Tribolium castaneum: one gene and its partner. The protein of the gene in region 1 purifies or fractionates together with the protein of each later gene. This does not show direct contact. Links are inferred from orthologs where the notes say so. Each region holds a gene or a part of one and is shown on either strand. Other genes may lie near its edges.

Evidence for each region.
Region 2: the proteins of proteasomal ubiquitin receptor ADRM1 (region 1) and Prosbeta1 fractionate together in Homo sapiens (co-fractionation; 3 studies listed by BioGRID, with this or other methods). This does not show direct contact. The link is inferred for Tribolium castaneum from reciprocal best matches to the Homo sapiens genes ADRM1 and PSMB6.

The regions. Positions count from the first base shown.
Region 1 is NC_087396.1:16,648,134-16,651,933, forward strand, and holds proteasomal ubiquitin receptor ADRM1, read right to left. Parts: upstream 2,538-3,800; 5' UTR 2,380-2,537; intron 2,145-2,379; 5' UTR 2,128-2,144; coding exon 2,022-2,127; intron 1,973-2,021; coding exon 1,746-1,972; intron 1,698-1,745; coding exon 1,492-1,697; intron 1,440-1,491; coding exon 1,168-1,439; intron 1,122-1,167; coding exon 970-1,121; intron 923-969; coding exon 698-922; 3' UTR 664-697; downstream 1-663. Other genes in the region: Ogg1 (N-glycosylase/DNA lyase), read left to right, coding at 1-559, 605-663. UniProt on the Homo sapiens protein: Component of the 26S proteasome, a multiprotein complex involved in the ATP-dependent degradation of ubiquitinated proteins.
Region 2 is NC_087396.1:11,001,474-11,004,633, forward strand, and holds Prosbeta1 (proteasome subunit beta type-6), read right to left. Parts: upstream 1,632-3,160; 5' UTR 1,539-1,631; coding exon 1,467-1,538; intron 1,410-1,466; coding exon 1,342-1,409; intron 1,291-1,341; coding exon 1,159-1,290; intron 1,112-1,158; coding exon 837-1,111; intron 790-836; coding exon 662-789; 3' UTR 618-661; downstream 1-617. Other genes in the region: eIF2alpha (eukaryotic translation initiation factor 2 subunit 1), read left to right, coding at 1-137, 189-304, 357-521. UniProt on the Homo sapiens protein: Component of the 20S core proteasome complex involved in the proteolytic degradation of most intracellular proteins. This complex plays numerous essential roles within the cell by associating with different regulatory particles.

The sequences.
Region 1 (3,800 bases):
GGCATTCGGATTCTTAAGCAAGATCTTGTCGAGAATATATTCTCATTTATTTGCTCGTCTAACAACAATATATCTCGCATCACGGGAATGGTTGAGAAACTTGCAAAATTTTATGGGGAAAAAATTTGCGAGCTTGAAGATCAAACGTATTATTCATTCCCCAAAATTGATTCTTTAGCCGATGATAAGGTCGAGTCGGTTTTAAAAAAGGAGGGGTTTGGATACAGGGCTAAGTACATAAATCAATCAGCGAAAATAATAATGCAGGAAGGTGGCGAAAAATGGCTTGACGATTTGAAAAAACTGCCCTATGAGGAATCAAAGAGTAAATTAATGACTTTAACTGGGATTGGCCCTAAGGTGGCGGACTGCATTTGCTTGATGTCTTTGGGGCACTTGGGGACAATACCTATCGACACGCATGTTTACCAAATTGCGAGAAAATTTTATATGCCACATTTACCGAAACGTAAAAAAGTCACAGCGACGATTTATAAAGACATTGGGGACCACTTTCGGGAGCTGTACGGCCCTCTGGCAGGTTGGGCACACACTGTAAGTAAGTGGTCAATAGTTATGTGAAAAAATGCAGTCAAATTTTTAGGTCCTTTTTTGCGCCGACTTGAAAAAATTCCAAACCGACGAAAACTAATCTCATTTTAAATTTTATTCAATAAACTCAGTTTAATACATTTAGTTAATCAGTTTGCATGTGATCATCATCCTTATCTTCTTTTTTCTCGCCTTTCTTCTCCTTATCCTCTTCCTTTGACGAGTTTCCTTCAGTTTTTTCCAAGGCTTTCATAAAGTCTTGCATGTTTCCTTGCGCCGCCGCTGCCACCGCCTCCGGATTAACCGCCAATTGAGACACAACCGGCCCCAACTGTCCCGACTCTAAAGCACTAGAAAACTGGGAAACGGCCTAGAAAAAATAATTAGAACAAAATTTTATTAATTTTTGTTTATCACTTGTTGGAACTGGGGCGAATTCAATGTTGCTCGCAAGGCGTCTTGGGGGTCACCCTCAACGGCCGGCAAATGATTTTGCAGGGCCTGAATAGCCCCCGGATTGTTTAAAATCCCGGACAGTCCTTCAGCAGTCAAAGCAGTTGATAAATCAACTAAAAATATTTTATTACACTTTTTCTTCAAAATTGTTTTGATTACCAGATTGTTGAGACGAAGCTTGAATTGGGGAAATCCCCTGCAGGAAATTCTGCAAGTCTGATAACTGAATTTTATGCCCGCATGGTGAGTCCGACGACCGGTTGGCTCGGGGGGCGCCCGGGGCTGTCGTGGGGGCTGTAGTTGTCTGCGGAGTGGCCGGCGATTGGCTGACGGCTGTGGTGGTGGTGTTGGTGGTTGGGGTGCTTGGGACTGTGGTACGGTGAGTTATAGCGGGGGTAGTGTTAGTACGAGCACTTCCGCTGTTGGGGCCCCTAAGTGTCATAGTTTTTACTATGCGTTTGAGCGTAATTATAAATACGTTACCTGATGGTCCCCAAGAGACTCGACAGCCCCCCCATCTGGCCCACGCCGCCTCCAAATAATTGCATGAGTTGGGATTGCGACATGTTATTAAACAGAGACTGCAAGTCCTGATCCGGGGACTGCGACGACTGGACCGCGCTTGAGGGGTTGTTCAACAACTCGTTTATGCGCTTGCAGTTGTCTTCGTCTTTATCAGTGCGGGGCTCCTATGGTTTAATTGGTGATTTAATTAATTAAGAAAAGGGGCGCCCTACTTGCAACCAGAAGAAAAATTTGCGATTGGATGATTTAAATTTCAACAAATAGACTCTTCCAGTGGTGCACTGGGGCACTTTAATGTATTCGCAATCATCAGGGAAGATTATGAGGTCGTCCTCAACAATACCGCTGGTGCGATCTTGCCAACAGAAGTGCATCAAAGAGTCCTCGCTTTGGTACACGTAGAGAAGACCCTTGCGTTTGTCAGGGTACACCATGCGACCTAACAAAAATTTGATTATGGGAGCTTACTGAAGAGTTTTGATAATTACCTTTCAAACTCATTTTGCCCGCCCGTACTTCAACCAAGTGTTTGTTACCGCCAGTTGAACCGGGGCCCGTAGCGGCACTGCCGAATAATGCACCTCCAGCAGGCATTTTTGCAATGTTTTGTTCTAGACAGTAAAGTGAGGTTAGGGAATGATGACAAGACAAAATGTCTTTGTGCTTTAAATTAATACAAATTTTTGAAAATAAAATAGAATAAGCAGATGCAAATGATATATAAATTATCACCAAATTTTATATCAATTCGTAATTAACGTAATATAGCAACAAATTTAAAATATCAGTATTTTCTAGTAAAAAATTAAATATATTTCTAACTTAATGTTTAAAAGATATACTTACGTTTTGTAATTAAAATGTACTTGAAATAATGTTATTTCACAAAGTTGGGAGTTGTGTATTAGTGTCCCTAATGATTTGTTTCACTTGGAAAAATCCACAAAGGAGGTGGTAACCTTAGGGATAGTTTGGATGGGTTGGAACTTGTGACACTTCCATAAGGCGCCAACATTTTGAAGGTTTGAAACTGATCGGGGAAAAACCTACAGCCACAACGTCCCTGATTAAAATAACACCTATAATTTTTCGCGTAGCAAACAAAAATTACAGGTAGATGGAGCATTAAATCTTAATAGTAAGACAACCAAAATGCAAAACTTTTATCGTAAACCATTCGTAAAAAAAATAAATTAACTTTTGCCAATTTGCACTCTGCCTCATTTATTTCAAAAGGCTGCAAATACGGTTACAGATACAAAAAATGTTAGGAAGGAAGTTGTAGAGAATTAAATTTTCTACAAAAAAGTCCGCGAGACCATATGCCTGTGTCCAACTATTTAGGCCCCAAAATTTGCTTCATTTTGTCGGTGGTCAAGTATTGGAAAGTTTATTTATACCTAAACTGTTGAAGATAGAATTATGGTGTTGTGGACTTTTTTATAGAAAATTTAATTTTTTTATAGTTTCTTACACTTTTTTTGTTTCTGTAATCGTATTCGCAGCAAACGTAAAATTATAAGGTGGAACGCAAATTGATAATTCTAAGCGAAAATCCTTTTTGCACCGTCACATATTTATTAGATATATATCTTCTACGGTTTAGGTATAAATTAACTTTCCGTAACTTGACCACTGGTAAAATAAGACGAATTCGTTGCTTCAGCGTCTTTGGGGCCTAAACCATTGACGATAGACATATGATCTCGCGGACTGTTAAAGGAAATTTAGTTCTCTACAAATTTCTTTTGAACATTTTTCTTACTTCTTCAACTGTATTCGCATCGTCTTGAAAAATACGGGACCAACAGCACATTTTCAATAATTTTTGTCTTATGTTTATTATGTAAATTTTAGTCGTCAGTCTTTCTCAGTCAGTGCAAGGCTCAACATTTCTGCATTTTTTTCAAGTAATTAGTGCAATGGTCAAATTTAAATTAATTTAAAATGATTTGGCGCCGAGACGTTGTAATGCTCGATACGCCGTCAGTTTTACATTTTTACTCTACCGTACTATTTTTCTGGGTTCAGAAAATCAGGCGGTTTTGTATCTCATTTTGTCCTCTAAGTTATAGTCCTCTGTAGTCTTAATACGGGAAATAGTAATAAAAACAACTATTAAATAAGTAGAATATATTAATAATTTACATTTAGTTATTAAATTAACAACATTATGAAAGTTAGTTAATAAAATATTCTAACATGGATATTGTAATATTTAACAAAATAAAATACATTCATTGACTTGGGTAGTTTGCGATTTGCAT
Region 2 (3,160 bases), about 5.6 Mb from region 1:
AATCCGTGCTGATATTGAATGTGCATGTTACGGCTATGAAGGAATTGACGCTGTGAAGACAGCCTTGAAGTCCGGTTTGTCGCTTTCAACTGATGAATTGCCAATTAAAATCAATCTCATTGCTCCTCCTCTCTACGGTAAAAAACTCATTTCCAACTAGAATTAATTATTTATCCGTGTAATTTTAGTAATGACGACTTCTACGCCTGAAAAACAAGACGGGCTGAAAATACTAAACGATGCAATTGAGAAAATAAAAGCCACAATTTCTGAATTAGGTGGCGTTTTTAACGTTCAGATGGCTGTAAGTGATTTAATTTCCTTGTTTAGGACCTGCTTTTTACGTAAATTTTTAGCCTAAAGTTGTGACAGCTACCGATGAAGCTGAGCTGCAAAGACAAATGGAAAGAGCCGAATTGGAAAACACTGAAGTTGCGGGCGACGACGACGATGAAGAAGACGGAGATGAGGGACAAGTTTACAATGAGAATGATAATGAATCTGAACCTGAAGAAGATTAAACAAACCTCAAACGTTTTATGATTAAATACCATGTGTATTATAAGTTTTTATATTGAAGCTTGTGGTTTAATTCAATATTTTAAGCCAATAAAATATTGTAAAGGTGAAAATGTGTTTATTATAAAGAAAAAAATACAATTTAACCCTCAAAGAATTTTGGCAGTTGGTCGCCCAAGACCACTCTGCGCTCGATTCCCTCCTCTGTAATAATTCCTAATCTAACCACACCACCCGAAGAACCATCGCGTGACATTGCGAGTGCCAAAGCTGTAAAAACTGAGTTAGAAAAAATTTCTCACGAAAAAATAACCTACTGTTTGTAATGAATTTAACACACTCTTCCTTCGACATGTTCGGTTTATAGTTGGCGTCAACGTACCCGTACACGTAACTAGAGCCTGAACCCCCAATGGAGACCTGCTGTCTCACACACATGCCTCCAATGGGGATTGAGTACACTTGCCCCCCTTTACGTTTATCCCAACCCGCAACCAGAATACCGGCCATTAGGGAATCACGATAGTTGTAACACAACTCGCGAAAAACCGCAGCCCCTGTCTCCACCAAAGGCTCTTCCCCTAACTCCATTCTACAAACCAAAATTTTTATAAAAAAATTAGCTAAAATTATCTCTACCCATGAAAACTTAGATGGTAGGCCACAATGTCCGCAATAGCCTGGGTATCGGCCGCGGAGCCAGAGCGGCAGCAGTAAATATGGTCGGTTACTTTAGTCAGTTTGTCTGTGACACGATTTGCGATGTATGCTCTACAATTAGTGGGGGTTATTTTTTATATAGTGATATATTGAGTGTGTTACCCCGTAGTGGTTCGAGAATCGGCCCCAATAATTACGCCCCCATTGAATTCCGCTGCCATAATAGAGGTCTAAAACAACAAGTCATGGGGACCTAACCTCACCGAATTTTTCGGGGAAAAACTTACACCAGTGCTGTGGGCAGCGTTCATCCAGTCACTTTCAGCATTCATGCCGTAATCACTTGTTACAGGTGGCATTTTACGGGAAAATTAATTCACAAGTAAAAAGCGGTAACAAGAGAATTTTTGATTGACAATAACAGTGTCGCCCATAGAATAAGAGAGAGGAAGAAGCGAATCTCTCTGTCTACCCCTCGTTTTTTCGCGAAAGCGCCACCTAACCTGGGGAGAACAAACTAATTCGATAATAGCGGGAAATTCAAACAGGACATTTTATTTATTTTCCAAATTTAAAGAATTATAAATGTTAAATGTTTCTGTACTCATGCACTGTTACGAGACATTTTAATAAAAAAGCATCTGTAACAGTTGCAATAGCACAAAAACATTTAACATCGCTTAATAAAATGAAACAAAGTCTTTCCAATAAAAATTTATTAAAAAAATAATAACGTGCTGGAATGTATAGGCAAAATTAATTTAACTCGAATTGTTGTTCATAAACATACTCAGATGTAATAATATATGTAAATACATTGTCTAAATATACACAATGATCCAGAGAAACTGAGTATGTTGGCATCAGATTAAATTATTGAATTGCTACCTGAAAGTGTACACTATTGGTATCCTTTAAAATTTAAATTCAGATTGCTAACAGACACAGTATTTCGGGATCAGTCTGTATAAATACATCAGTTTTGTTGGTTTGATTACTTGTCTACAGACTGTTCAGAAAAGCAAAAAAATATCAAAATTTTGCTTGTAACCTTTGACAATAGTCCAATTTTTAAGTCCCTTAAGGCTAAATTTAAACAACTATTTTTCGAAATTTATTCGCGGTTATAAGGTTTACGGACGTTTGTAAAAGCGGCCCTAACACGTACTTTAACAGTTTGATGTCAAAGTTCTTGATAAGTTTTGAAATTTTTTAAAAGTAATCTCGATTGCATCATAGTTATTAGTAAATTACTCAAACACAAGAGAATTACAAGTGTGCTAAAATTATTTTAAATAAAAACCCACATATCTGATATACATAACTATCACTGGAAGTTAACTGATTAAAACTACCATGTAATCATTTAAATTTATAATAATAGTAGGCTTTAATATTGATTAACTTGTATGATACTTGTAGAATACGTTTTTTCGCTTAGTTTCTAAATTAAGCAATCACAAAAAGGACAAACCTTGTTTTTTTAACAGGCATAGGCGTTATAACATTGTGTAAAACAACATAAAAGATTAAGACATAGAGGGACATGGCGAATTTGAAAACCTTGAACCATAGCAAGTCCTAAACTCCCTGCTTTCACAAAATACTAGCTTCGCAACTACAATAAATTTATTTATTATTATGATATACCTATTAATTACTGCACATGATATTTAACTCGTCTTCATGGGATTTTCAATTACATCCCAAGAACCGTTATCATCTCCAAGGACGGTCTTCATCTCCTAAGTTTGTGTGATCCTTCTTGGTGTAATATGATTATATTAATATCTAGAAATCGCAATTAATTGTTGTATAGACACCTTTCAATAACGTTTACCTTAATTTGCCTTAAGTTGATTCATCCTTCATTAAAACACTGTCATTCACACTATACACTAGATTCAAATAAAAGATCCATATAAAAGTAGAGATGTTTGATCACAAAAACATCCAAAAAATCACGTTAAATCGTTTTCTG